Anolis sagrei: one gene and its partners. The protein of the gene in region 3 interacts with the protein of the main gene of each other region in a pairwise test. Links are inferred from orthologs where the notes say so. Each region holds a gene or a part of one and is shown on either strand. Other genes may lie near its edges. The genes, in order: CEP95, SCNM1, MTUS2 and LMO4.

Region 1 (7,877 bases), on a different chromosome or scaffold from region 3:
AAATTTTGCACATTTTCCCTCCTATTTGGAAGGGGATCCAAGCAACAAATCTATCTATGTCCAAATGGCAATATAGTCTAGTGCCAAATGAACAGGCCAAGAAATAAAAACTATAAACGGACTATAGGTTCTGTTTTTCAAGAACAGTACTTTTTTACAGTAACATCACATACATGACTAATCAGAAGTAACTTCAAAAAAGATTTAATGACAAGAGGATACAAAATCCAATTTGGGCTGAATTTCTGTATCTACACTTGGTCATTTACATTCACAAATTCTGTATCCATAGATTCAGTCATTCATGTGTGTGTGTGTAAAATTTCAAAACTGAAAACTTGCTTTGGCATGTTATATAAGGGACATCATTTTAATATACCATAATCGGATAATAAGCAACCAGGGATTTTGCTATTTTTGGGAACAGCATGAAATTAAACCCAGCTGATGCTCATTGTATTTCCCAGTAAGAATAAGCCTCAAAACTAACATGATCTGGTGTTTTGAGTAATGGATCAAGAGTCCAGGAGACCAGCATTTGAATCACTGTTCAGCCATGGAAACCCACTGACTGACTGACTTTGGCAGAGGCAAACCTGCTCTGAATAAATCTTGCCATAGGGCTGCCAAAAGCCAGAGTTGAACTGAAAGCACATAACTGCCATTCCCATTTAATGTATTGGGATTTAATTCTAAGTGACTATTATAGTATATAGTATTTAGAATTTAAAATGTTCAAGGATGTGCAATATTAACATTGGTGTTTTGTTATTATTAAAAATGAAGATGATACAGTGCTGTGTTTGTTTTTTTTAATCTGTTTGTTTTGTTCTGAAATGTAACACAATTCTCTTTTTGTAACACAATTCTCAAAAAAAAGAGAAAAGTGGGGGAAATGTCAAAGCAAAATAATAAAACAACATGTTAAAGAGGCTGATGTACGAAATGCAATAGTATGTAATAAATGTGATAAATCAATAAAAATTATTTTTAAAAATGTAATACAATGTTCTGGTTGCGGATGACACGATAAATAAATAAATAAATAAATAAATAAATAGTGCTGTTAAATGGATACCATACTATACAAAAACTAAGCAATCAAAGGTATACTAACAAATTCAATTTTAACAAAAATATATACAGAATTACGGCACATTTAAAAATGCAAGGTCCAATCTATCAAGAAGCTGGGAAGTCTGGGATTTGGGAAATGGGTGAGGATAAGGAGAACCTGTAGCCAAATGCAAAATACAATCTATAACAGAGATCAAAACTATGTAAAATATTTTAAAATGGAAGCTCAATTTTTCATTCAAAAGAATGGAAACTATATGCCTTAGCATAACAATAGCAAAATATTTCATCAGATCTCCTGCTGCCATGTAGCCCATAAAGTAGGGAAGAGACTTTGTATTTATTGTGAGGACAGGGCTAAGAAGGATGGGTTTTATCTATGTGATGGGAGGAACAAGCATAGGATTCTTGTCATTGATATGCCAGAGAGTAGTACCATATTTGTGACCATTGCTTAAACTATTGCTTTCTTGGAAACTCACAAAGAACCAGAATCTGATGGCTCATGAACCATTACTGGTTCACAGATCACCTCTTTGAGTAGCACTGCTTTAACCAGCAAAACCTACAACAACCCAATACTGGAAGGGTTTGGTGGCATTGACCTTGAGTTTTGGAGTTGTAGTTCACCTACATTCAGAGAGCACTGTGGACTCAAACAATGATGGATCTGTACCAAACTTGGCACGAATATTCCATATGCCCAAATATGAACACAGATGGAGTTTGGGGGAAATAGACCTTGACATTTGAGAGTTGTAGTTGCTGGGATTCACAGTTCACCTACAATCAAAGAGTGTTCTGAACGACAGAATCGGGGCAAACTTCCCACACAGAACCCCCATGACCAACAGAAAATATTTAAGGCCATCCAGTCCAACTCCCTTCACCAGGACAAGAAAACGTCATCAAAGCTCTCCTGACAAAGATGACAAAGAGCCATCCAGCCATAGATATAGATAGATCGATATGATTAACGCGCACAGAGATATAGTATCATAGATTTGAAAGGGACCCCTAAAGAAGGACAATGATATCTTGCATGTTCCAGGGTGGGCAAACCAGACCATCTCCACATCAACACTGACAAAGAAACAGCAAAAAGTACTGTTTACCCACAAGCATAAAGAAATTACATATATTAGAAACCAACACTTTCTCATTAATTTATTTTCCAGATCACTAGACTGGGCCACAGCAACGCCTGGCAGGGGACAGCTAGTGTTATAAGAGTACGGTGTATATGAGACATACAACACCCGCCTACAGAATATCTCGTTATGCACATGCAAGTATTCCAACACTTCTAGTCCCAAGAATTGAGGAAAGGGGATACCTAATCTATGTCAGAGTCTAAGTCCTTAAAAGTAAAAAATACAAATGACATAACTCCACAGCACTCAGCCCCCGGTGGCGCAGTGGGTTAAGCCCCTGTGCCGGCAGGACTGAAGACTGACAGGTCGCAGGTTCAAATCCGGAGAGAGGTGGATGAGCTCCCTCTGTCAGCTCCAGCTCCTCATGCGGGGACATGAGAGAAGCCTCCCACAAGGATGACAAAAACATCAAATCATCCGGGTGTCCCTTGGGCAACGTCCTTGCAGACGGCCAATTCTCTCACAACAGGAGCGAGTTGCAGCGGGCTCAAACTGCATGAATTCTACAGTGTAGGTGCACTTTGAGTGGCCCAGGCATTCCCCCTCTAGCTCTACGACGTCCTTGCTCTACCTCAGGGAGCAAACACACCCCAAGGAGCTCTCCTGAGCAAGGACAATAACCCCCTCCCCTTCCCTGAGGGCCCACCTTTTTCCTCAGTGGGGCCCATGTCACGGTTCCGCCCAGGCCTGCCTTCTTCAACTGATATCCAACCACCCCCGGCCCCTCGCCTGAAGAGATTTAAACCCTTCACCGCCCCACGGCCTTCTGCGAAGGGATTGGCCGGTCTGGAGAGGAAGAGGCGGGGCTTCCTGTGGTTGCTTTCGTAGATTCGCAATCACTCGAGTCAGTGTCCTACTTCCGGCCTTGTGTTCCAATGATAAAAGAGACAGCCGGCCGGGCTGTTTATTTCCTCGGCCTGGTCCCGTTGCCGTGGCAACGCGGCGCGCGCTTCTGAGAAAGGGTGGCGCGCGCAATTTAGGCCGCTGGGGCGGGAACTGGGTGCCTGTGAGGAGGAGGGTATAATGATGGTGGCTGTTCTTGACCTTTGCCCTCCATGTTAGGCTGTTTTACTTAATTTCAATCCTATCTCTCCTCTTAAAAACTGCACGGTTATAATATAGACCTAGGGCCCTTCCACACAGCCCTATAACCCAGAATATCAAGGAAGGAAATCCCACAACATCTGCTTTGAACTCGCTCTTTCACACAGCTTTATAACCCAGAATAGCTTGGCAGACAATCCCACAATATCCGCTTTGAACTGGATTATCTGAGGGCCCTTCCACACAGCCCTATAACCCAGAATATCAAGGAAGGAAATCCCACAACATCTGCTTTGAACTCGCTCTTTCACACAGCTCTATAACCCAGAATAGCTAGGCAGACAATCCCACAATATCTGCTTTGAACTCGCTCTTTCACACAGCTCTATAACCCAGAATATCTAGGCAGACAATCCCACAATATCCGCTTTGAACTGGGTTATCTGAGGGCCCTTCCACACAGCCCTATAACCCAGAATATCAAGGAAGGAAATCCCACAACATCTGCTTTGAACTCGCTCTTTCACACAGCTCTATAACCCAGAATAGCTAGGCAGACAATCCCACAATATCCGCTTTGAACTGGATTATCTGAGGGCCCTTCCACACAGCCCTATAACCCAGAATATCTAGGCAGACAATCCCACAATATCTGCTTTGAACTGGGTTATCTGAGGGCCCTTTACACAACCCTATAACCCAGAATATCTAGGCAGACAATAGCACAATTTCTGCTTTGAACTTGGTTATCTGAGGGCCCTTCCACACAGCCCTATAACCCAGAATATCAAGGAAGGAAATCCCACAACATCTGCTTTGAACTCGCTCTTTCACACAGCTCTATAACCCAGAATATCTAGGCAGACAATCCCACAATATCTGCTTTGAACTCGCTCTTTCACACAGCTCTATAACCCAGAATATCTAGGCAGACAATCCCACAATATCCGCTTTGAACTGGGTTATCTGAGGGCCCTTCCACACAGCCCTATAACCCAGAATATCAAGGAAGGAAATCCCACAACATCTGCTTTGAACTCGCTCTTTCACACAGCTCTATAACCCAGAATATCTAGGCAGACAATCCCACAATATCCGCTTTGAACTGGGTTATCTGATGGCCCTTCCACACAGCCCTATAACCCAGAATATCTAGGCAGACAATCCCACATTATCTGCTTTGAACTGGGTTATCTGAGGCCCCTTCCACACAGCTGAATAAAACCCCACATTTTCTGCTTTTAACTGGGATAAATGGCACTGTGGAAACAGATAACCCAGGACCCTTCCACACAGCCCTATATCCCAGAATATCAAGTCAGAAAATCCCACATTATCTATGTGTGGACTCAGATAACCCAGTTCAAAGCAGATATTTTGGGTTATTCCGCCTTGATATTCTGGATTATATGGCTGTGTGGAAGGACTGCCATACAATCCAGTTAAATGTGAATTTTGTACAGCTGTGTGGAAGGGCCCTTAGATTTTTCCCTCCACCCAAACCTGGGTCTAAGGGCCTGTCCACACAGCCATGTAACTCAGAATATCAAGGCAGAAAATCCCAAAATATCTGCTTTGAACTGGGTTGTCTGAGTCCACAATGCCATATATTTCAGTTCAAAGCAAATAATGTAGGATTTTATTCAGCTGTGTGGAAGGGGCTTGAAGCTGGATCTGCACTGCCATATAATCCAATTTGAAGCAGATAATCCGAATTCAGAAACTGGATTATAGGGCAGTGTAGATGGGGCCTTAACTGCATAGCAGCCTTACGAAGTCGGCTTGGCAGGAAAAGGGGGTGGTTGGGAAAGTTGAGGGTCAAACAGAATGGGGTAAGAGGCTGTTCCTACTTTTTAGTGCATCTACACTGTGGAATAAGTGCATCATGATATCCCTTTAGATGCCATGGCTCAATGCTTTGGGATCCTGGGATTTGTAGTTTGGTGAGGACACAGCACTGTAATAAGAAATTCAATGTACAGATTTGATAAATGTTAATTTAATAATTATGTGTGGGAATGAATGGAAGAATGGAAGTTGTATGTGTGGAATTAATAATTTTGGAGACCCTACTAAAATACTAAGGCCTTGGGATCCTGGAATTTGTAGTTTGGTGAGGACACAGCACTCTTGCAGAGAAGGCTAAAGAAAAACCTTGAAAAACAACAGTATTTATGGTATCATAGCTTTAAGCCATGGCAGTGAAAGTGGTGTCAAACTGCCATAATTCTACAGTGTAGCAGCACCTATAATTTGAATTATTTGAATCTAGGCCCTCTGTGGCGGTTGTATTCTCTTCCCTTGTGAAAGATGGCAATGCAGTGACTGCCTAGTACTGCAAGAGCCCCATTTAATCCATTGTCTAAAGGGGGGTTACACTTTCTTTCCAGCTGTACTCTGTTCCATCAATATTGTGAGTGCTCTCCTCCTTCAGTTTCATGTTTTCATTTACGAGCAATATAAAATAATGTATTAGAATTGCTGCTACACCTTTTCCATTGCTCTCTTCACTTCCGGCATATAAACAGGCAACATGTTAACCCCTCCTGGGTGTCTTTGTATTGACAGGCAAAGCCCTGTAATTTTTTTTTTTTTTTGCAGACTTTGAGCACTAAAGGTTTCCAAGACCTTTAGTACTCAAAGTTTGCAAAAAAAATATACTGCTATGTAATTAATTTTCTGAGTCCAGATGATCTGCTTTGAACCTGATTATATGGCAGCGTAGGTCCAGCCTCTGTTGATAATCCAGTTCAAAGCAAATCATCTGGATTCAGAAACTGGATTACATAGTAACCTAAGAAAATAACTTTTAAGAGGACATTGTCTTGTTTTGTGTGTTGAAACTCAACCAGAGCAAAATTTTATAAGACTGCACCATTTTGAATGGTTTTTACCCATTGACTTGTACATTTTAAATTGTTTCTATGTTAATGTTGATCTTTTGTATGTTTCAACTATTCTGCAATCGATGTAACTGATGGTGATGATAAGTGGATAAATTGCTACTATTGCCAAAACATTGCTTTGCAGATTCGATTGACAAGGTTTGACATGATAATGCAGAAAATTACAACAGGGAGTCCCCAAATTACAAACATCAGACTTACAAATGACTCATAGTTAAGGAGGGTGAGACAACAGGAAGTGAGAGAAATCTACTCTTCGGAAAGAAAATTCACTCCTTATAGTGGGAAAAAGGTGTTTCCACTTAAGCTTTCTCCCCAATCTTTGTTTCCACAACAAACTATTTTTTTTTCAAAATCCAATTATCACAGGGACAGAAGGTGAGGTGAAATCTTCTGAACAGGGTCACGGGCAGCAAAACAAACACCACAGGGCTATTAACTTTTCCCTATGCTGTCCAAAGCTTATAGAAATATGTGGCTGGAGTTACATTTCAAAATGTATGTGTTCTTACATACAAATTTAACTTAAGAATAAACGTACAGAAACTGTCTTCTTTGTAACTTGGGGACTGCCTGTAATGGCCTCGTCTTATAATCATGCAAGCGGTACAGGGAAAATATAGACTTGCTTGTGAGTGCCTTTGTTCTAGTGTAATTGAGCTTTTTGGGGTGTTATTTTGGAGTGATTTCACGATGGAACATCTCAAAGGTCGGTATACTTTTTTCAGCTGGGACTACTATGCTTTTAATTGACAAGTCAAATCTAGAAAATTCTAGTTACCCCAGCAAAGCAATGGAGTGACAGGAGAAAGTTTATCTATTGAAGCTGTGTTGGATTTGAACAATTAAAAGCGTAGGAACCCAACTAGGAGGAGGAAGAGCAGCATCTAACTGCTCAGGGGATCATGAATGCCTTTAGATTGCTTCATAATAGATTTATCACAATTATGTGCCCCTCTGACTTCACAGCAAGGTCTTTATAAAATCCTGGGGATACTGTTGGCCCAGTTTGATTGTGCAGCTGTCATTGGATGCATCTACACTGTAGAATCAATGCAGTCTGATACCACTGAATGTGATGGAATCACTGGAGTTATAGTTTCCCAAGGTCTTTAGCCTTCTGTGGGATCTTGCCAAACTACAAATCCCATCATCCTACAGAACTGGGCCACATCAGGTAAAGTGGTTTCAAACTGGATTAATTATACAACATAGATACACACAGTTAATCTGGATACTTAGCTTGTACAACTGCAGTTTATCAAACCTATCTTGAGGGAAAAGTTATTATGAATCTCGTAATATTTGTGTGCTATGTATAGCATACAATCTTCTATACACAATCTTCTTCCTGATGGAAACAGCAACCTTCTCAAGCCTCTAGTCTACTGGTTATTTGTTATGTATATAATTGCTTACTATATTTATTTGTGTATTGGTATGCAATTTGACCTTAATTCTTTGTTGTGGGAGGGGCTGCAGACATTGTGACACTTAAAACGTTAGCATATAAAATATAAATTCATATCAAGTCAATAAAAACAATAAAAACGTATATCCTCAGCATCTCCTTACTGAAATAATTATTCAATCACATCGTCAGTTATCAATGTTTCTTCAATAAATATTTTCCCATCTGCTTTTAAAAATGTTACTTTTCCTTAGGCCTTTTTAAACCTGTAAATTAAATGTTAAT
Region 2 (7,319 bases), on a different chromosome or scaffold from region 3:
ACAGAACTCCCGTGACCAACCAAAAATACTGGAAGGATTTGGTGGGCATTGACCTTGAGTTTGGAATTTGTAGTTCACTTACATCCAGAGAGCACTGTGGGCTCAAACAATGACCAAACTTTGCACGAATACTCAATATGCCCAAATGTGGAGTTTGGGGAAAATAGCCTTGACATTTGGGAGTTGTAGTTGCTGGGATTTATAGTTCGCCTACAATCAAAGAGCATTCTGAACTCCACCAACAGTGGAATTGAACCAAACTTGTCACACATTATTAATTTTATTAATAATAAATAAAATAATAATAATAAAGCATATATTATTACTATTATTATTATTATTGATCCTCATCCCCTTTCGCAACTTGGCTCGCTTACACCGAGCCACCTAAATCTGGGTTGCATCATGTAAAAGCCATCGTTTTCAAATTACAAGTGAGACGAAAAGGCACTCACAGGCTCTCCCCGTCCCGCAGCTTCTTGGTGGCGGCCTGCTTCGAGCGGCGGATCTCAGAGTCCAGTTTGAAGAGGAAGTCCGAGGCTGAGAGGTCATGTTTGGGGACGCCGCTCGAGGACCCGTTCTTCCGAGGGTGCTTCTGCTTCTTGGGGGTTTCGGGGACTCCAGGTCCCAGCTCATCTCCCGCTTTTGCGGTTGTGGCCTGCTCTCCCTCCTCCTTCTCCTCTTCGTCCTCGTCAAGGTTCAACCCGTTCGACAAGGACTTCGGCTCCATCGGCACTGGGATGAAGAGAGTCTTTTTCAGGAAAATGGAGTCGTTGGTGTAGAGACGGTTGGCCCGCTTGATCTGCTCGGTCTGGAATCGGATCAGAAAGGCGGTTAAGCGAAACGATAGCTCAATGCTCCTCTATCTATCTATCTATCTATCTATCTATCTATCTATCTATCTATCTATCTATCTCTGTCGTCTATCTGTCTGTCTATCCATCCATCCATCCATCCATCAATTCATCCATCCATGTCCTCTCTCTCTCACTCTCTCTATCTATCTATCTATCTATCTATCTATCTATTTGTCAATCTATCTGTCTATCTATCTATCTATCTCTGTTGTCTATCTATCCATCCATCCATCCAACCAACCATCTATCCATTCATCCATCCCTGTCCTCTATCTATTTCTCCATCCATCCATCCATCCATCCATCCATCCATCCATCCATCACCTCTATCTATCTATCTATCTATCTATCCATCCATTCATCCATCCCTGTCGTCTATTTCTCCAACCATCCATCCATCCATCCATCCATCCATCCATCCATCCATGTCCTCTATCTATCTATCTATCTATCTATCTATCCATCCATCCATCCATCCAACCATCTATCCATTCATCCATCCCTGTCCTCTATCTATTTCTCCATCCATCCATCATCCATCCATCCATCCATCCATCCATCCATCCATCACATCTATCTATCTATCTATCTATCTATCTATCTATCTATCTATCTATCAATCCATCTATCAATTCATCCTTCCCTGTCCTCTATCTATTTCTCTATCCATCTATCCATCCATCTATGTCCTCTATCTATCTATCTATCTATCTATCTATCTATCTCTGTCGTCTATCTATCTATCCATCCATCCATCTATCTATCCATTCATCCTTTCCTGTCCTCTATCTATTTCTCTATCCATCCATCCATCCATCCATGTCCTCTATCCATCCATCCATCTATTTATCTATCTATCTATCTCTGTTGTCTATCTATCTATCTATCTATCTATCTATCTATCTATCTATCTATCTCTCCATCCATCTATCCATTCATCCATTCCTGTCCTCTATCTATTGCTCTATCTATCCATCCATCCATCCATGTCCTCTATCTATCTATCTATCTATCTATCTATCATCTATCTCTGTCGTCTATCCATCCATCCATCCATCCCTGTCCCCTATCTATGTCCTAGTGTCCAGAACAGCCTTCCCCCTCCTCAATGGGAAATCCTTTCAAATATGTAAACATGACTCTCAACTTTCACTTTTGCTTCTCCAGCTCCCAAAGTCACTCCTTCTAGTTTTTCAGACCTTTGATCACGGCGATTGCTCTTCTCAACGAAAATAATGTTATGGTTAGGGGGTCAACACAACTTCTTTGACATGGACTGTAGTCAAGCCACGCCATGGATACTCATGCTATGTATCCATGCAATGATGTGCCAAGACTCACCGTGACCCCGTACTTGACCGCCAGGCCTTGGAGGGTATCCCCAGGTTCGAGGCGATGCTCCAGCCGCCTTTCCCGCACGGGCGAGCTGACTGTCTTGACCAGGCTGCCATAGGATCGGGTCCGGCTCCCTTGCAGCAACCCGGCTCCTCCGGGGGAAGCGGGCTTCGACGGAGAGGACATCCCTTTTCCCCCCAAAATAAATAAATCCCTAAAGACCTTTCCAGGGCGTGACCCTAAAGGGCCCTAAAACTTGACTCCAAAGGTCTTTTGAAGGCCCTAAAAGCTTGATCCTAAAGGTCCTTCCAAGACCCTAGAAGTTTGATCCGAAAGGTCCTTCCAAGACCCTAGAAGCTTGACCCCAAAGGCCTTCTCCAAGACCCCAAAAGCTTGACTTCAAAGATCTTTCCAAGATCCCAAAAACTTGACCCCAAAGGTCCTTCCAAGGCCCTAGAAGCTTGATCCCAAAGGTCCTTCCAAGTCCCTAGAAGCTTGACCCTAAAGGCCTTTCCAAGACCCCAAAAGCTTGATCCTAAAGGTCCTTCCAAGTCCCTAGAAGGTTGACCCCAAAGACCTTTCCAGAGACCCAGAAGCTTCACCCTAAAGGGCCATAAAAGCTTGACCCCAAAAGGTCCTTCCAAGTCCCCAGAAGCTTGATCCGAAAGGCCTTCTCCAAGACCTCAAAAGCTAGACCCCAAAGGTCCTTCCAAGATCCCAAAAGCTTGACCACAAAGGCCTTCTCCAAGACACCAGAAGCTTGACCCTAAAGGTCCTTCCAAGTCCCTAGAAGCTTGACCCTAAAGGTCCTTCCAAGACCCTAAAAGCTTGACCCTAAAGGCCTTCTCCAAGACCCCAAAAGCTTGATCCCAAAGGTCCTTCCAAGTCCCTAGAAGCTTGATCTGAAAGACCTTCTCCAAGACCTCAAAAGCTTGACCCTAAAGGTCCTTCCAAGTCCCTAGAAGCTTCACCCCAAAGGTCCTTCCAAGTCCCTAGAAGGTTGACCCTAAAGACCTTTCCAGGGACCCAGAGGCTTCACCCTAAAGGGCCCTAAAAGCTTGACCCTAAAGGCCTTCTCCAAGACACCAAAAACTTCACCCCAAAGGTCCTTCCAGGTTCTTAGAAGCTTGATCCGAAAGACCTTCTCCAAGATCTCAAAAGCTTGACCCCAAAGGCCTTCTCCAAGACCCCAAAAGCTTGACCCCAAAGGCCTTCTCCAAGACCCCAAAAGCTTGACCCCAAAGGCCTTCTCCAAGACCCTAAAACCCAGCAAGACCCCTAAGTTTGGACCCCACTTCTTGCCATGGTGGAGTGGCCCTTCTAAAGGCCCATCGTCCCCGTCTCAAAAGGTAAACAAAGCCCTGCCAACCTTGATCTATCTCTCTAGGTATCTACCCAGGATCCACAAACCTCCCCGCCAGCTTTGATCAAGCCTTTTCCAATCCAATTCAGATCTATTGATCTCCAATCCCAATCAATTTCCTGGCTCATAAGAGGAGACCACAACCAATGGTCTCCTCTTGGACACCCAACCCTATGTAGATATCTATATATATCTATATAATATATATATATTGATTATAATTATATATAATTATATATGCAATATAATTCTATATATATATATAGAATATAATTATATATAAATAGATATAATTTCCCCAGAAATATGTCTGTTTTGGTTCCAGCCACAGACAGATGTCAATCACCCATCACCCCTGCTGCCAATCAATAAGGATCAATGGCTCCAAAGAGGATACTTATCAATAGAGAGAGATTCTCCCAGCCAAGAAGCTGTTGGACCCAAAGCCTGCCTTGCAACCGACTCCCAAGCCCCGCCTCCCCTCCCGCGCAAAGGATCCTGGGATTTGTAGTCTTTGCACTCAAAACACTTTGGAAGCCAGGAAAATAAAATCAAACCCTTTCTCTCCTTTCCTTCCAATTTGAAACCCCCAAATCCAGGCAATTTGCACCCAATCCAGGCAAATTTTGCATTTAGGGGAAAGATATAAGTGATTTTGGGAGAAAGGACTACATTTCCCATCATGCTCCATTTTGAGCAAGGCATGATGGGAGATGTAGTTCTTTCCCCTCTCCAGGAAGTAAACAAGGGAAAGAAAGAGCCCAGAGGCATTTCGGGCAATGCAGTCTCTTGGAAGCAAAGCCCTGATTGGTGCAAGCAACTGAGAGTTGTAGTGCATGCTGGGAGTTGTAGTGCACACTGGGAGTTGTAGTCCTGGGATGTTTGCAACGCTAGAAGGTAAACATTGCATTGTTTGGAGGTGATGCAGTTTCTTAGAAGCAGAGCCCTGATTGATGCAAACAATTGGGGGTTTTAGTGCATGCTGGGAGTTGTAGTGCACAATGGGAGTTGTAGTCCTGGGATGTTTGCAACGCTAGAAGGGAAGCAGAGATTATTTGGGAGCAGTGCAGTCTCTTAGATGCAGTGCCCTGAGTAGTGCAAACAACAGAGAGTTGTAGTGCATGCTGGGAGTTGTAGTGCACAATGGGAGTTGTAGTCCTGGGATGTTTGCAACGCTAGAAGGTAAGCATTGCATAGTTTGGGGGTGATGCAGTCTCTCAGAAGCAGAGCCCTGTTTGGTGCAAGCAATTGGGGGTTTTAATGCATGCTGGGAGTTGTAGTGCACAATGGGAGTTGTAGTCCTGGGATTTTTGCAACTTTAGAAGGGAAACCTTGCATAATTTGGGGTGTTTTTTCTTTTATTTTAGGGGGAAAGGATGTCCTTCAAGAGGGAAGGAGACGACCCCAGCCAACTCAACGTCCTCAAGGTGAGTGGGAAAGGAAGTGGGGGCAAAAGAGGGGTCCATTTGGGGGTAAAATGCCATATTATTCCTTTGGAAAGGGTCCATGCTGTTTCCCATGTTGAATAGTTGCCATTTCCTGCAAAATCCAGATCCTATGTAAGCCACCCAAAGCACTCTGCACATGCTCAGTGGCTGCCTTGCCTTTTAGTTTGCTGGAAAGCACAGGGCACCTCTGAGCCAAGGACTATGTAAACAAGCCACCCAAAGCACTTTGCACATGCTCAGTCGCTATTTTGCCTTGCCTTTTTGCTTGCTGGAAAGCACAGGGTGCCTCTGAGCATGTACAGAGTGCTCCCAGCCTGCAGAGTTTGGCCACAGTGCATGTACACTGCATTATAATATAATATATTGTATATGCATATAATGTTTATAATATTATTAGCTGTACCTGCCACGCGTTGCTGTGGCCAAACTTCCCTCCTTCTTTCTCTCCTTTCTTCCTTCCTTCTTTCCTTCCTTTCCTCTTTTTCTTTCCCTTCTTCTTTCTTTCTTCCCTACCTGTTTCTTTTCTCGCTTCCTTTGCTCTGTGGTTCCATCCTTCCTTGTCTCCTTTCTTCCTTCCCTCTCTCTTTCTCTCTTTTGCTCCTTCTCTCCTTCTTTCCCTCTTTCCCTTTTTTATTTCATTCTTTCTCTTTCCTTCCTTCCCTCCTTTCTTCCTTCCTTCTATATACCCTTCTTTCCTTCCTTCTCTCCTTCCCTCTTTCTCTCCCTCCTTCTCTCCTTCCTTCTCCATTTTTTCCCTTCCTTCTCTTTTCCCCTCCTTCTTCTCTCTCTCCTTCCTTCTCTACTTTTCTTTCTTTCCTTCCTTCTTTCTCTCCTTCCCTCCTTCTTTCCCTCCTTCTCTCCTTCCTTCTTTCTCTATCCTTTTTTCTTTCCTTCTCAATCTTCCCTCCTTCTTCTCTCCCTCTTTCTCTCCCACCTTCCTTCTCTACCTTTCTTTCTTTCTTTCCTTCTTTCCTTCCTTCTCTCCTTCCCTCTTTCTCTCCTTCCTTCTATTTTTCCCTCCTCCTTCTCTCTCTCCTTCCTTCTCTACTTTTCTTTCTTTCCTTCTTTCACTCCTTCCCTCCTTCTTTCCCTCTTTCTCTCCTTCTTTTTCTATCCTTCTTTTTTCTTTCCTTCCCTCCTTCTTCTCTCCCTCTTTCTCTCCCACCTTTCTTCTCTACCCTTCATTCTTTCCTTCCTTCTCTCCTTCCCTCTTTCTCTCCCTCCTTCTCTCCTTCCTTCACCATTCTTTTTTTCCTTCCTTCTCTTTTTCCCTCCTTCTTCTCTCTCTCCTTCCTTCTCTACCTTTCTTTCTTTCCTTCCTTCTCTCCTTCCCTCTTTCTCTCCCTCCTTCTCTCCTTCCTTCTCCATTCTTTTTTTCCTTCCTTCTCTTTTTCCCTCCTTCTTCTCTCCCTCCTTCCTTCTCTATCCTTCTTTTTCCTTCCCTCCTTCTTCTCTCCCTCTTTCTCTCCCTTCTTCCTTCTCTGCCTTTCTTTCCTTCTTTCTCTCCCTCCTTCTCTCCTTCCTTCCTTCCTTCCTTCTTTCCGTGTATGTGTTGTGTGTGTGTGTAGGTATATAGGTGTGTTTGTGTATATATGTGTGGTTTTGCGCGTGCATTGTAATGTTTTGGTTTTGTGTTGTTTTTTGGCTTTTAAGTCCCTTCTGTTGTGTTTTTCATTGTTTTTAGGAGTGATGGCCACTCGTTGGCCTGAGAGGCGTCTTGTGTCCAAATTTGGCTTCTAGGAATTGTGGGAGTTGTAGTCCAAAACACCTGGAGGGAGAGCCGAAGTTTGCCCATGCCTGGTATAGATGCACTGTGGAAATAACTGGGGTAGCAGTGGCCAAACTCTGCAGGCTGGGTGCACTCTGTGCATGCTCAGAGGTGCCCTGTGCTTCCAGCAGGCAAAAAGGCAAGGCAAGGCACCCACTGAGCATGTGCAGAGTGCTTTGGGTGGCCTGTTTGTCTTAAAGTTTTCCTTCCTTTTAAAATCTTTTTCTTCTCCTCCAGAAAAGAAGAGTTGCGGACCTTTTGGCCAACTATATCCCGGAAGACGAAGCCTTGCTCCTGAGAGATGGCAGGTCAGCATCCCTCTCTCTTCCTTCCTCCTTTCCTCCCTTCATCCCCTCCCTTTGCTTCCTCTTTCCCTTTCCTCCTTCCTTCTCCCAATTTGTTTTTTCTACCATTCTTCCTCCCATCTTCCTTCTTCTCATCTCTCTCCTTCCTTCCTTCTCTCAATCCCTTCTCCTTCCTTCCTTCCTTCCTTCCTTCCTTCCTTCCTTCCTTCCTTCCCTCCTTCCACCTATCGTACTCCTTGCTTC
Region 3 (7,806 bases):
GCAGGCATCCTCAGAGGTTGTGAGGTCTGCTTGCTTGTTTGTGGGGGGGGGGGGGGGGGTTAAAGCTGCACTGGATGCCAGTCTGCTACTGAGCACAATTCAAAGTGCTGGCTTTAGCCTATAAAGCCCTAAATAGTTCTGGTCCAGCTTACTTGTCTAAATGTATTTCCCTCTATGAACCATCACAGAGGTTAAGATTGACCAGAGAGGCCCTGGTTTCTTTGCCACCTTCTTTGCAGGTGCTCTTGGTGGGGACGAGAGACAGGGCCTTCTCAGTGGTGACCCCTGGCTGTGGAACTCCCTCCTCAGTGATATTAAATCAGCCCCCTCCCTCCTGGCCTTCAGAAAGAAAGCAAAAATATGGCTTTGGGACCAAGCCTTCAGATAACAACTGTAGTGCAATAAATGGATACAAAATATGTGCAATGACTACTGGAATGGCTCTGGACTACAATTGTGGATTGCGTGGTTTTCACAGTTGGTATAATGTTTAGATGTTTGATTTCTTGGTTTTAATGTAATTGTTTATTTTAACTATATGTCGTTTTGATGGCATCAAATTGTTGCCTATGTGTAAAGCCGCTCTGAGTCCACTTTGGGGAGAGAAGGGCGCGGTATAAATATGATAAATAATAAATAAAATAAATTAAAAGATATGGGAAGGACAGCAAAACTATTTTTCCTGAGTTGGAGTATGAAGCAGCTGCTCCAATGTATGTTGTTATGATAGGAAAAATACTTGCAGGCAGTTAATTGGCATTTTCAAATAACAGCAGCAACAATAACAGAGAGGAGAAAAGGAAGTATGTAGTGTTTTATAGACATGACTTCAATAATAATGCAACAACACTGAAGATAGATCAAGACATAATATTATTCCCATCTGTCAGGTGAGAATGGGCACTGGAACTGTAAAACAGCAGCTTGTGTAGAGCTAGCACTATATCACTATGATGAAATTTGAGATGGGATGCTCAGACTTCAGGGCTACAGAGTCTACTTTGTTTTTGTTGTTGATCTACCAGAATTGTGCCCTAGACATGGCTACCAAGTGGATCCTGGTGCAAAACAATGGCTCTGGAGTTTGTGGGTAACTGGGGGAGACAACAGAATTGTATAGCAAGCATTAGAACGAAGAGGGTGGAGTGCCTCCGGGCACATGTACTACCCTGACATTTGTTTTCAGTACCAGCACTGAGCTCACACAAGCATGTCATATGCAAACCCACTCCTGGATCCCTGCCCAAGCTTTCTTCCATCTCGGCAGGCAAATCTGGAAGTCTTTTCATGCTGCGATTATGAAATCACTGTGCATTGGAATCTCAGTACCAATCATCTGTAAATCTACCACTTGATCCCAGTCTCTATTCCACCTTCCTCCCACCTCCAAGCTCGACAACACTGATCCATGCAATACATCCTTTGGGAGATTATCTCTGGAGAAAAGCACGGAAAAGTCACTTGTGCAAAGCCTTTTCAAGCCACCACCACTCTCTGATCTTCATTTCCAACATTGGAAAATGCGTGATTTGAAAAACATATAGAACACAAGCCAGCCAATTGACCAGCGTAGCATGTGACATCTGTAAACAACCAGCATGGGTAAAGTCAACAACATACACATATATTGCAGGTAAACATTTGAAGTTAGTGCCTGTTGCAGCCAGAAAGGAAGGTATATAAGAGTTCATCAACCTCCTTCCCTCTCCCCATCATCACCCAGATGCACAACTCTCTCTTGTGCAGTCCAAAAGGACAACTGGAAAGAGCTTTCTGATGACCAAACCCATTAGGAGCTCCTGGGGGTGCAGTGGCAAGATTAAAGACCGACAGGTCAGAGGTTCGAATCTGGGGAGAGTGCGGATGAGCTCTCTTTCAGCTTGAGCTCTCTTTCAGCTTGAGCTCCCCATGTGGGAACATGAGAGAAACCTCCCACAAGGATGGTAAAACATCAAAACATCCGGGTGTCCCCCGGGCAACGTCCTTGCACACAGCCAATTCTCTCACACCAGAAGCGACTTGCAGTTTCTCAAGTCACCCCTGACATTACAAAAAAATAAATCCAATCCTGCTCCTCAGTTTGGTTCCTCTGCTATAAAAAGACTCAATACACAGAGAGCTCTACAAAGACATGGAGAGGGGGGATGACAACGAGGATGGATGCTAAGAAGAGATAACAGGCTGGTGTGCAAAGGGCCACCGCCTTCTTGTCCCGTTCAGAAGAGAGAGAGAAAACTGGGGAAGAATAGGTGAGTGATGGCAAGGGACAATGTGCGGAGGGGAAGGGAGGGGGCGAGACAGGCGTGGGGTTGTTTTGCTTCTGTGCCTGCCTTTCGGTGTCTATTCGGCTAATTTAGAGTCTTAAGCTTCCCCTCTGGGATAGCAAGTGGCTGAAGGCGAAGGAGGAAAACACTCAAGGGCAGGGTTTCCAAAACTTGCGCAGGAGGAATCCAATCTCCCTTGAAAGAGTCGGAGGGGCTGGGAGGGGCTCCCCGGCATGAAGGCAGCACTTTCCCCAAACCCTTACCCTCCCAATGGGCAGAAGGAAAGACCCCTGAAGTGGCCCCCGCTCCAAGTCCCACGCGCAGTTGCTTCCCACCTTGCCAGAAGGACCTGCTCCAGCTTTGGTACCCAAGACCCAAGTCGGAGGAAGGATGCTCCAGAAGAGCAGCGACTTACCTGCTGGCTCTGCGACGGAGCTGTCCTCCCCTCGGCAGGACAAAGGGACCCGAAGACACGCACGCACACACCCTTCCCCGCCCACCTCCCCCTCGGTTTCCCCTCCGAGACGTGGCTCCTTCCTTCCCTCCCACTCGAGATTACATCCCGCCCAGACGCGTGGCAGCAGCTCCGGCGGAGAGGGATGTTGGGGAAGAGCTCATATTATATACGCGCGCAATCCCACACTCACACAAAGCGCTGGGCTCCTTCCGTGGGTTGTTTCTCCCCACTGCGGCGTCCAAATGGGGGAGCAAGAGCGCCCTCCGCCGGCAGCAAAGGGAAAGCCTCTCCCCGGACTGCTGTGCGCTCCCGTCCCCTCGGACTGGGAGGTTATTCCCGGCCATCCAGGACTATTGAACCATCCCTGTCGCCTCTCGCCTGGGCTTTCCTCATGGAGGATGTGTGGATCCGAGGCCCATCCGTCGCCCAATCAGCCCACAGACTCATAGAGTTGAGAGAGACCACTAGGGCCATCCCCTCCAACCCCCCAATGGAGGCTGGAAAGGGCAGAAGGGCTCACAAACAAGCAGAGAAAGGCTGCTTCCACTTGCGAGGACCCCCTCCCTTCCCAAAGACAGATGGGAGTCCAAATATGGCCCATATCTGTGTGGGTTAGTTGCTATGGCAGCGAATGTAGGAGTTTTTGGGAGTGTTTCAGGGTTGTGAAAGAGAAGGGTGTGTGCACCTTGGAAATGGGGAATTATGCTCCTAGGGAGACTGTGGTCTTTTTTAAAAAGGCAAATCAATGGGACCTACAGCAAATCAATTAGATGCCAAGGTGACTAAACAGAGACTGTGGGGTTTGGGGCATATCATGAGATGGTATAACTCAATAGAAAATTATAATAATAGGTTTTTCGGGTTATAGGGCCATGTTCTAGAGGCATTTCTCCTGACGTTTTGCCTGCATCTATGGCAAGCATCCTCAGAGGTAGACCTCACTACATGGCCCTATAACCCGAAAAAACCTACAAGAACCTAGTGATTCCAGCCATGAAAGCCTTCGACAATAATTATAATAATACTTGGTAAGGTAGAAAGCAGTAGGAAAAGAGGAAAGCTACGTGGACTTCAAAAAAGACAAATCTATGGGTTCTACAGCAAATCAAGGCTGAAAATTAGATGCCAAGGTGACTAAATGGAGATTGGGTCATATCATGAAAGGACATAACTCAATAAAAAAATTATAATAATACTTGGTAAGGTACTTACTTAGGTGATCCCTCGTTGTCCGAGTAAGACTGTCTTCCAAGATCGGTGTACTGGCGGTGGGTCCGTAGGTGACTGTGGAGCCCTATTCTTGATCTGTATCTTCTCCCACAGTGAGAGTATTGGTTTCCAGGTGGAAGGTGGTCTCGGTCAGGGTTGGCTTGACGCGCTTTCCTCTTGGCATGTTTCTCTCTTTTACCCTCCATCTGTGCCTCTTCAAAATTTACAGCACTGCTGGTCACAGCTGACCTCCAGCTGGAACACTCAAGGGCCAGGGCTTCCCAGTTCTTAGTGTCTATGCCAGAGTTTTTAAGGTTGGCTTTGAGCCCATATTTAAATCTCTTTTCCTACTCACCAACACGGTAGAAGGCAGTAGTAAAAGAGGAAAGCTACATTACACATAGATGGAATCAGTCAAAGAAGTCATAGTCTTGAGTCTGCAAGACCTGGGTAGCTTGGTTGGAGATAATAGCATTGTTGTTGTTGTTGTTTGCCACCAATCCAAATTATGGTAACCCCATGAATAAGAGACTTCCAAGTCACTCTATCACCGGCATGGGAAAACTCCAGCCCTCCAGGTGTTTTGGACTTCAACTCCCACAATTCCTAACAGCCTTGTGCCCTTTCCTTTTTCCCCTCAGCCATTTAAGTCGGCAAGAGTGTGCAAGACTTGAGTTTCCAAGACTTGAGTAGGTTGGCTGGAGATAGAGCAGCTGAGGGAATTGTGGGAGTTGAACTCCAAAACACCTGGAGGGCCCATGCCTTCTCTACCTCCAACCTGTCAGAACCTGAAAGCTCTTGGAATAAGAGCACATCCACAAAGGCAAATCCTTGGATACAGCTTTATTTCTGTCTTACCATTGGCAATAGGAAGACAGTCCTGAAGATTCCCCACCAAATTCTTTGTATATCATTACCCTAACCCATTCCCCTTCCTACTGGCTACATTTCATTCCCATCATTGTTATCTTACAGTTTTGTTTCCCCCCAGTCCAGATGGCCCTTATCTCATATGTGCTCCTATCCATTCTCCCCCTCTCCATATCCATATCACAGGGTGAATGGAGCAGCTCCATGTTTATTCATATCATGATCTGATCACCATGCTCAATATATCTCAGACATGGTCAAACTTGGGCCCACCAGGTGTTTTGGACTTCAACTCCCACAATTCCTTTTCCTTCTCAGTCACTTAAGTCTTCAGAGTCTTCAAGAGTCTTCAAGACTTCAGTCTGCAAGACCTGAGTAGGTTGGTTGGAGGTAGAGCAGGCATTGTGTGCTAGATCTGGCTCGATTGATCAGAACATTTCTCATAATGTGGAATTTAAAGAACTATACTCAAGCGCTACTATTTACTGTTATAGTTTTTTCAAAGTTACAGTTTCTTAGAAAGTAATTGAAAAGTACATTGGTGTGTGAGAGAGAGTGTGTGTGTGTTAATACGGGTGCTACAGGATGCTAGCCTCTGATACAAAATAGAGTCTCCTCCCATCTACCATCATCTCCACATAACAGCAGAGCTGGGGACAACTGATCACAAACCAGCTATATAATATTCCTCCTCCACCATTTAGAGAGATCATACCCTATAACAAAAAATAACCCTAAAAGTTTCAGATCTATTGTAAAAGGAATGAAGCTATGTCTCATCAAATTAGAATTGTTACTTGAAACTTTAACTGTTATAGAAAGAAATTCATTACAAATTACAAATTGATTTCCAACAGACCTCTCAAGCTCTAAGGATGCCTGCCATAGAGGCAGGAGAAACGTCAGGAGATAATGCTTCTAGAACATGGCCACACAGCCCAAAAAACCTGCCACAACCAGTTATTCCAGCCATTAAAGCCTTTGACAATTCATTACAAATAGTTACTTGTAAGTAGCTACTTTCAAGTTCTGTCAATGGCATTCTGAGAGAACATTTATTCTGGGATAAAGAATGGCTGGCAACTCTTAGCTCACATGACAGTGTAGCAATGAACCGCCTACTCCACCTTAAAGGAGCTATTCATGGTTCTGAACCTTAGTCTCAAAATAGGTTCAGCACCTTGGAGAGTTCCTTTCAAATCCCAGTTCAAGCAGATTCACTGCCCAGCTGACAAAAGAAGGCATTGGAAACAACTTCACCAAAAGCATGTGTTTGCTATTCAGACTCAAACAAGGACCTTTCAAAGTGTAAATGCTTCCAATTTCAGCCTTTTGGAATGCTTTACCAGGGAAAAAAATAGTAAGTTGAATGGAAAAATTCAAGTTCTGTACTCACAAGATAATGTCCTTGCTAATGTCAAGCAAGAGTCAAAACGTGTGAAACAGGAGTCAAATCTGCTTGGGCATCTTATCACAGCAGGAGTTTAATCTGATACAAGAAATACAAAAAGGCTATATGGATTCAGAACATAGTTTTGCTTGCAGAATGGGCGCTCTGCTGTAGCTGGTGGTGTGTCCAGTCATGTAGTGATTAAATTGGGAGCAACCCTTCTCATTATTGCTAGGGCAGTTGTGCACTGGAGTACTGCCTAATCAGGTCAAAATTCAGAGAAATGAAAGAAGCCAAATGACTCCGCTTTTAATGTTCACCCAAGATGAAGAGTAAAGACTGTACTGAAGATTGTTTTTTGTTGTTGTTGTTGTTGTTTTTAGTGAGGAATAAGTATTTAAAGTTTTTAAGCAGTGAAGCAGATTGACAGATTTTCAGGGAGTTGTAGCCCAAAGGAGTAACCTTTCCAAGATGCCTTGCAGAATAAATTCCCACATTTCCATAAATAGCAGCTTTTGTTGCTGCTTTGAAACAGTTTGCTTAAATCTAAATTAAGAGTGAGAATCACATGGCTCTCCAGATGTTGTTGGGTTACAATTACCAGCATTTTTATCATTGATTATTATGCTGGTTAGGAAACTATAGTCTAACAACATCTGGAAGGCTGCATGATTCCATGGCCTGGATTAAATCCAATTGCTAATCCTATCTAAAGTGGACCCATTAGACATTTATTCTATTTTATCTTATTTTCTCTGTTTATTCTATCATGAGTTCTCAGGGAAAGAGACAGGTCAAACTAAATTATATTGTTGGTTATAGTTTTGTTAAACAAGAGCATATCGAGCAATTGAGCAAATTAAAAATATATTGTTGAAGGTTTTCATGGCTGGAATAACTGGGTAGTTGTAAATGTTTTGAGCTGTATGGCCATGTTCCAGAAGCATTCTCTCCTGACGTTTCGCCTGCATCTATGGCAGGCATCCTCAGAGGTTGGAGACTAGGAAAATGGGGTTTATATATCTGTGGAATGTCCAGAGTTGGAGAAAGAAATCTTGTCTGTTGGAGGTAGGTGTGAATGTTCCAATTGGCCGTTTTTATTATCCTTTAATGAAGCCATTGAAATCTACAAGCATGTGAACAATTTCAACAGAAAGGAAGAAACCATGAAAATGAACAAAATCTGGCTACCAGTGTTAAAAAAATCTCTAAAATCATAAAAGTAAATAAGAAACAACACCTAAAAACAGGGGAACTCCAGACAAGAAATAATCAGGGACAGCTAATCACCTCTCAATGAAGGATTCCACCAGGCAGTAAAAAGCTAGACCTTGAAACTGCTAGGCTATAAATGCTAACCAAGGTGGCAAATTGAAACATTCACACCTACCCCAAAAAGACAAGAGTTCTTTCTCCCACCCTGGATATTCCAAAGATATATTTTCCTAGTTCCCAACAGATCTCACAACCTCTGAGGATGCCTGCCATATATGCAGGTGAAACTTCAGGAGAGAATGCTTCTGGAACATGGCCATACAGCCTGAAAAACTTACAACAACTCAAATTAAAATGTGTTTCAAGATTAAAGCAGTTTAAAACCATGAGCAATAATAATT
Region 4 (7,916 bases), on a different chromosome or scaffold from region 3:
GTAATACATTCTTCATAAAAGCAGGGCACTGGGGAGATTAATAATGGAAACAATTCATAAAGCTTGCTTGAAACTGATTAATGCACCCGGAGGAGTCCAACAGACTTGGGTTTCTTCATTCCTTTATACCAGGCATGGGCAAACTTCAGCCCTCCGGGTGTTTTGGACTACAACTCCCACAATTCCTGGCCTCAGGCCCTTTCCTTTTCCCCCTCAGCCGCTTAAGCGGCTGAGGGAGAAAAGGAAGGGGCCTGAGGCCAGGAATTGTGGGAGTTGTAGTCCAAAACTCCTGGAAAGCCAAAGTTTGCCCATGCCTGCATTCAGATATCAAAAATATCAAGTTATTTACTGTCAATTTAGCAGTGTTTCTCCTTTCATTAAAGGTCCCTGCTCACTTTAAGGCATTCAGCTATAACAACACATAGGAGGAAACAGAATAGCAAACTTTTTCAACTTAGTTACAACAGCAGTTTCCTTAAAATAGGCCTTTTTTAAGAGAGAGAGAGCGAGAGAAGCAGGTTTTCCTTCCAAATAACTCCTGATCATATGGTTCAGTTGACCACACAATAAACCAGCCTGCGAACTGCACCAATTAAGACTGTAACTAAAAACCCCGAGACTTGGGGGAAAGAGAACCACTCTAAAAGCCATTAGCATTGCATTTCTCTGAATGCATCATATACCTTTATGTAAATTGATTTCTGATGCATTTAAACTCACGAAATGGCCTTTTGTTACCATTTCCAGCAATACGAACCTGGCCTTTTTTTCTGACTTTCTGATTAGAAACAAATCCTATTTCCACACCTCCTGTAAAGAACCCCAAAAGTGTCCCCCTCAAATGCAAACCCACTTGTGCCTTGTCCACCAGGGTCTATGTGGGAAAAGAAAAAGTAAATATTGTACCTAAAGGGGAAACGTTACCCTGACAGAAGCACCCAGTAACCCCATTAAGCCAAAGCTCTTAAGGACAAGCAATACCTTAATGCTGATTAGATCTAAAAGAGATGAATCAAGAGGACTGACCAGAAAGTGACTCCTTCCCTCGCTCACGAAGGAAGGATGGGGGCCCTGATCAAGTTTCAGGCAGAGTTGGGGAGGTGGCAGGAAAGAAGGAAGAGAAAAAATACACACACACAGGGAGAGAAAGAGAGAGACAGAGAGGAGGAAAAGCTTTTAACTGAACTAGCCTCGCTCTGGTAATTACACAGCCATTTCGGGTCCTGGAAACAGAGGCAATGAAACAAAAAGGAGAGGCGAAACACACACAGAGGGAGAAAAAGAGAGGGGGAGGAAGGGAGGGAGAAAGAGAGGGAAAGAAGGAAGGGAGAGAGAGGGGGAGAAAGAGAAGAAGAAAGAGAGGGGGAGAGAAAGACTGGGGAGGAGAAAGAAGGGAGAGCGAGAGAGAAGAAAGAGCAAGATAGGAAGAGAAAGGAGAGGGGAGAAAGAGGGAGAGAGAAGAAAAAGAAGGGAGAGTGAGAGAGAATAAAGAGCTGGAGAGGGAAAGGAGAGGGGGGGAGAAAGAAGTGAGAGAGTTTAGAAAGGGGGAGAGAGAGAGAGAGAAGAGAAAGAAGGGAGGGAGAGGGGAGAAAGAGAAGAAGAGGGGGAGAGAAAGAAGAGAGAGACCGGAGAGGAGAAAGCAAGGGAGAGAGAGAAGGAGAGGAGAAAAAGAGGGAGAGAGAAGAGAAAGAAGGGAGAGTGATAGAGAATAAAGAGCGGGAGAGGGAAAGGAGAAAGGGAGGGAGAGAAAGAAGAGAGAGGGTAGAAAGGGGGGAGAGAGGGAGAGAGAAGAGAAAGAAAAAGAAGGGAGAGAAAGGAGAAAGAGGGAGAGAAGGGAGAGAGAGAGAAGAGAGGGGGAGAGGAAGAGAAAAAAGAGGAAGAGAAAGAAGAGAGGAAGGGGGGAGAGAGAGGAGAAAGAGGGGAAAGAGAAGGAGAGAGGGGGAGAAAAAAGAGGGAGGGGGAGAGGAGAAAGAGAGAGAAAGAAGAGAAATAGAGGGAGAGAAAGGAGAGAAATAGAGGGAGGGGAGAAATAGAGAAGGAGAGAGCCCTTTGACAGAGACTATTCATAGAGACACAGCTTGCAACTCCAAAAATTGAAAATAATAATAATGGGATGCTTTAATTCACGGCTTGTTTTGAAATCAGCTCGATCCGGGGGGAGAGAGAGAGAGGGAGGGAGGAAAGAAAATGCCTCCTCCTCCTCCTCCTCACTTGAGATTTCTTTCTCTTGCCACTGTTTCCCAAGGAGTGTTTAGCTGCGAAGAAAGAAGTGCAAAGGAGGGGGGGGGGAGTTGACGGGCTTGTTTGGCTTCCAAATGCGGGGAGACGAAGGGAGGAAGGAAGGAGGGCAAGGGCAAGGGAAAGGAAGGGCAAGGGCCCGCCGAAGCCGCCGTACCTGTTTCCCCTCTATGGTGCAAGAGGCCGAGGATAACGTGGTGGAGGAAAGGCGGGGAGGCTCTTCGTGGCCAGAAAGCGGAGAGGCGGGAAAAGGGGGAGGTTGTTGACGGAGCAAGGCAGCGAGCGAGCCCGCACGGCGCGGGCGAGAGGGGGAGAAGCAGCGCCCCTTCTCTCGCGTCTCTCGCCTCCGGAGTCAGCAAGCAAGCGAGTGAGTCCGTCCTTCCTTCCTGCTTCCTTCCCTCCTTCCTTCCCTTCCTCGGCGGCTAAGTTTTGGCCCGCTGCTGCTGCTGCTGCTCCTCCTCCGAGCCCGGGTCCTCCCTCTTCCTCTTCCTCTTCCAAAATGGGCTCCTCGGTGTTTAAAAGTCCCGAAAGCGGCGGGTTGGTTCAGCGGGCGGGAAGCGGAACAGCTCCGGCTCCCAGGCTGGGTCGGCGCTCCTTCCTGCTCTCGAAGTGGAGGGAAGAGGAGGAGTTGTGGCCGCGGTGGCGTCGCTGTGGTCGGCGGGACGCGCGCAGGGAGGCCCCGCTCTGGCTCTGGCTCTGGCTCTGCTTGCTCGGCTTCTGCTGCTCCTCTCCCTCCTCCGCCTCTGCGCTCTTCTGGCCCATGTGTTACTGACAGAGCAAAATCCCAACAAGTCCGCAGCTCGGCCCCCCGCGTCACAGCGCCTCGCCCAATCCCCGCGCCGCTTGTTCAGGCGGAATAATAAAACCGCCCAATCGCGAGCAGGGCGAAGGAACCAGGGGGCGGGGAAAAGGCCGAAGCAGGAGGGGGGAGGAGGAGGAATCGAATAGAGAGAAGGGTGCTTCTCTCTACTCTTAACGCGCTTCCACACCGCTTTAACTACTCTGCCTCATTCCTCTGTTTTTTTTAGAGCCTTCTCTAAAGCCAGTGGGATTTTGGCCTGCATCAATAGGAGTCTAGTATCTGCATCTAGGGAAGTCATGCTACCCCTCTATTCTGCCTTGGTTAGACCACATCTGGAATACTGTGTCCAATTCTGGCCACCAAAATTGAAGGGAGATGTTGAGAAGCTGAAATGTGTTCAGATGAGGGCAACTAAAATGACCAAGGGTCTCGAGAACAAGCCCTACGAGGAGCGGCTGAAAGAGCTGGGTATGTTTAGCCTGAAAACGAGAAGGCTGAGAGGAGACATGATAGCCATGTATAAATGCGTGAGAGGAAGTCATAGGGAGGAGGGAGCAAGCTTGTTTTCTGCTTCCCTGGAGACTAGGACGCACAACAATGGCTTCAGACTACAAGAGAGGAGATTCCATCTGAATATTAGGAAGAACTTCCTGACTGTGGAACTCTCTGCCCCGGAGTGTGGTGGAGGCTCCTTCTTTGGAAGCTTTGAAACAGAGGCTGGATGGCCATCTGTTGGGGGTGCTTTGAATGCAATTTTCCTGCTTCTTGGCCGAGGGTTTGACTGGATGGCCCATGAGGTCTCTTCCAACTCTATGATTCTCCTCCCCAGGAGCATCAACAAACTATAACTCCCAGAAATGGATAGCATTGAGCCTTGGCAGTTAAAGCAGGGCCAAACTGCATGAATTCCACTGTGCAGATCAAAGAGTTGGAAGAGACCTCATGGGCCATCCAGTCCAAGAAGCACTTCTGACAAAGCACCATCCAGCCTCTGTTTAAAAGCCTCCAAAGAAGGAGCTTCTACCACACTCTGGGGCAGAGAGTTCCACTTCTGAACAGCCCTCACAGTCAGGAAGCTCTTCCTAATGTTCAGATGGAATCTCCTTTCTTGTAGTTTCTTGTCCTTTCTTGTAGATGTCCCAAAGGCCCTTCCACACAGCCCTATCAAAAAATTTGGCTTGCGGAAGCAAGAATTCGTAATACAGCTTCAGTGGAGACACCTTTTCCAATGATAACTCTTTCAGGAATGAATTTCCCATCCTAGAGGTAGATTTCTTTCACTTATTTATTATTTATTTAAAACATTAATACCCCGTCCTTCTCAACCTCCGAAGAAGGACTCAGGATGGCTTCCAACAGGCAACAATATAGAGCATACCATAAAATATAACCATTTCTTGTTGTCTCATCCTTGTTCTTAACTATGAGCCGTTTGTAAGTCGGATACTTGTAACTCAGGGACTGCCTGTACTGACTAGGGTTGATGGGACAAGCTTCTATCACTGTTTATAGGGATGCTTCCTCTGCAATAAAATCCCATTTTATTTAGTTGTCATTTCTGTGGCGTAATGTAAAATAAACCACGTGTAGTTCACATTTGATCAGCTCACACACTGCCTTGCCAGAGAAAGAAAATAAGCCACGCAGATGAACAGCGAAAAAAAAAGTAGTTTACTCTTTGTCAATCAGAACAACATATTTACAATGTGTTCAGTTGCATCAACTCACATAATGTCCTTTTATGAGAGATTTAAAATGGTCTTTGTCCATGTGGAGAAATTCCTACAGCAGCTCATTAAGCAAGAGTACACTCTAAGCTATCTCTCTGGGTGCTTTACTCTTCTCTCTCTGCTGGACACCTGCATAGCTCTGCTGAACAAAAATGTAACGGTAACCAAAAGTCCCAGGCTCAGCTCAGGCATTGCCTGACCAATCAGATTCATGCATCTTATTTTGCAATTGACACACACACACTCAATGATTCCTTGAAGGCTCCAACAATTTCTACATAAATATATGCTTCCTAAGCTCAGAGGGAAGAATGCTCTTCTCTTATCAAACAGAACTCCAGCCATGTACATTGAGCATCCCTTATTTGGGATTCCAACATCCAGAAATATTAAAAAGTCATCCACTTGGGTGGCGGAGGTAGGGATGCCTTTGCTTTCTGATGGGTCACTATACTCACACGTAGTTTCATGCACTAAATTATTTGAAATACTGTGTATAAAATTGCCTTCAGACCTTAAAAGATATATATGAGACATAAATGAACACCATGTTTAGACTCCGGTCTCACCTCCAATTGTGAACGGATGTGCAAAGAGAAGTATTTCAAAAATCGGGGGCGGAGGGAAGTGGGAACTAAACCTCTGATCCCAGGCTTTTCAGACCAGGGATAGCTTTATCTGGAGTCTGTGTTTCATATGCTTTTCGAGGTGTGCAGCACCTGTCTGCAAAAGTGCCCTGTGTATTAGCTAGGCCAGAGCCACCCAGTGGACTACACAACAGATGACAGGAGGTTTGAAATGGCATTATATGATCAGTGTTGACTCATCTAACGCAGTTTAACAGTGTTATATGAGTCTACACCAGGCATGGGCAAACTTCAGCCCTCCAGGTGTTTTGGACTTCAACTCTCACAATGTTAGGAATTGTGGGAGTTGAAGTCCAAAACATCTGGAGGGTCGAAGTTTGCCCATGCCTGGTTTACACTGATCATGTAATACCATTTGCAAATAGCAATGCAGATGGGGCCCAAGAGGTCCTCCTTTGTACCTCCTTGTACTTTATCACACCAAGAAAGGTGCTTTCAGACACAACAGGTTTTGTAGTCTGCTCCAACAAGCGTAGGACTTTCCTAGTCAATATTTTTCATAGAATCATAGAGTTGGAAGAAACCACATGGGCCATCCAGCCCAAGCCCTTGCCCTGCAGAAAAAGCACAATCAAGCACTCCAAATAGATGGCCACCCAACTTCTGTTTAAAAGCGTTCAAAGAAAGACCCTCCGTCACACACAGAGGCAGAGAGTTCCACAATTGAACAGCTCTCACGGTCTGAAAGTTTTTCCTAATGTTCAGGTAGAATCTCCTTTCTTGTTCTTTGAACCTATTGCTCCAATCCTATTATCTAGGGCAGCAGATATATATATATTTCCTACAGATATACAACAAATCAGTACAGCATGGTTTTTCATATTAGTGCAAAAACTTGGAGCATCCCAACTTAGAAATGATGAGTAGTTTGTAAGCCACTTTTTGAAAATAATATATCTAAAGTACATGAATTACTGTAATTTCTATCCCACCTTTCTTCCAATATGGAACTCAAGGTGGCTTTCAGTATATTTACAAACGGAGTATAGATAAAACAATGTATGGTGCAAAATTTCAAAATAATATGTTTTAAAAGGCACTACTTTAAAACATGACTCATGAATATGGAAGAACAACACATGCCATTAAGAGATCTTTCTACAACAGCAAATTTGCAGCCAGAGGCCTAAACAAAAAGGTCTTTGCCTGCAGGTGGAAGAAGAACCAAACAAGATTCTTGTAGGAGGGAATGCCTAGGAGAAGCCATAAAGAAGATCTTCTTTGAGTAAATCTACACTAGAAATAATCAAGTTTGACACCACTGTAACTGCTATGGTTCAATGCTGTGAAATCATGGGAGTTGTCGTGTTTAGCCATCTCTGTGCTGGTACCTCACAAAATTACAGTACTCAGGGTTCCATAGAATTGAGCCATGGCAGTTAAAGTGGTGTCAAATGGCATTAATTGTGCAGTGTAGATTCACTTTTAGTCCTTGTCACAGGGTGGGACCAAGAGAAAGCCCTCCCCGCTTATCTTAAAATTTGAGCAGGCTGATACAGCATTTCCATGCCAGACAATAATATAATCTAACATTTTAAAAATAAATCGAATATTTTAATGTAAATTTTAATACATTAAACGTAAACATAATGCTAGATAATAAGAAAAATATTCATGTTAATAAATAACATAAACAGGTTAATTGGTTAAGCAGGGTGAACATAACTTTGGATCTCCCTCTCCAAGTCTCATTGTACGTATACAGACTACTGGACTAATATCCTTTATGTTTATAATACAAGCGATCATTTAGCCTTCAAGTCTGCTGAGAAAAATTACCAAATCACTCATTTACAGGCACTTTTCTCAGTCATTTCTGGCCCCAAAGAATCGGCTTTCCTGTCTGGTTGTCTAGACAGATTGCTTACCTGTCCAAGGTGAACAGATAAGTATTTGCAAGCCTTCTTTGATCATGGAGGAACTCGGACTTTTGAATCCAAAGATTCATGTATGTAAAAAAAAATGTTGATCTATTTGGAACAAAATTCCCATGCTTTAGAAGTCTCTCTTCCTTCTGTAAACCATGTTAGTGCAGTTAATTTGGATTTAGATAATGAATAACATTGAATAAGACAGTAAAGAAGGTGCAGATAATCAAGAGAGACCTCTGCAAATCACTTACTCCAGGGCAGGCAGCCTGATGTCAATGGAGTGGGACTACTCTAAAGAGCAAACCAGAGGTATTAATGCTGATTATGTTGATATTAAAGTAATATGGGGTGAGGCCTACTAGGCTGCGTATTCCCCGGAAATTGCAGAGAGCAATTTTGGATTCACACACTTAACACTTCACCAGCTCCTTATGTGCTGTGCTCCTTGGGACAAAATTCGATCCTCTGATTGGAAAAGTTTTTTTTTCAAAACCCACCCATGTGAGCAGCGTCCCACTCATCAAAGCAGTGGCCATTGATTTTTAAGTACTCCTTGTTGAAATCAATGGGGAGTTCAGCTTAAAAATTAATGCTACTGTAACTCGCTGTTATTAATACCCCATAAAAT

The links.
Region 1: the proteins of MTUS2 (region 3) and CEP95 interact in binary tests that used the Homo sapiens proteins (3 or more experiments, as listed by UniProt). The two-hybrid records come from large-scale screens. The link is inferred for Anolis sagrei from reciprocal best matches to the Homo sapiens genes MTUS2 and CEP95.
Region 2: the proteins of MTUS2 (region 3) and SCNM1 interact in binary tests that used the Homo sapiens proteins (3 or more experiments, as listed by UniProt). The two-hybrid records come from large-scale screens. The link is inferred for Anolis sagrei from reciprocal best matches to the Homo sapiens genes MTUS2 and SCNM1.
Region 4: the proteins of MTUS2 (region 3) and LMO4 interact in binary tests that used the Homo sapiens proteins (3 or more experiments, as listed by UniProt). The link is inferred for Anolis sagrei from reciprocal best matches to the Homo sapiens genes MTUS2 and LMO4.

Annotation. Positions count from the first base shown.
Region 1 is NC_090022.1:179,773,390-179,781,266, reverse strand, and holds the start of CEP95 (centrosomal protein of 95 kDa), read right to left. Parts: upstream 3,009-7,877; 5' UTR 2,900-3,008; coding exon 2,878-2,899; intron 1-2,877.
Region 2 is NC_090032.1:6,619,099-6,626,417, reverse strand, and holds the start of SCNM1 (sodium channel modifier 1), read left to right. Parts: upstream 1-4,306; 5' UTR 4,307-4,737; intron 4,738-4,922; 5' UTR 4,923-4,931; coding exon 4,932-4,982; intron 4,983-7,008; coding exon 7,009-7,079; intron 7,080-7,319. Other genes in the region: LYSMD1 (lysM and putative peptidoglycan-binding domain-containing protein 1), read right to left, coding at 456-811, 2,199-2,378. UniProt on the Homo sapiens protein: As a component of the minor spliceosome, involved in the splicing of U12-type introns in pre-mRNAs. Plays a role in the regulation of primary cilia length and Hedgehog signaling.
Region 3 is NC_090023.1:31,861,159-31,868,964, reverse strand, and holds the start of MTUS2 (microtubule-associated tumor suppressor candidate 2), read right to left. Parts: upstream 3,010-7,806; 5' UTR 2,912-3,009; intron 2,902-2,911; exon of another isoform or gene 2,680-2,901; intron 1-2,679. UniProt on the Homo sapiens protein: Binds microtubules. Together with MAPRE1 may target the microtubule depolymerase KIF2C to the plus-end of microtubules. May regulate the dynamics of microtubules at their growing distal tip.
Region 4 is NC_090024.1:153,051,152-153,059,067, forward strand, and holds the start of LMO4 (LIM domain transcription factor LMO4), read right to left. Parts: upstream 3,017-7,916; 5' UTR 2,396-3,016; intron 1,005-2,395; exon of another isoform or gene 982-1,004; intron 1-981. UniProt on the Homo sapiens protein: Transcription cofactor. Plays a role in establishing motor neuron identity, in concert with MNX1, acting, at least in part, to disrupt LDB1-LHX3 complexes thereby negatively modulating interneuron genes in motor neurons.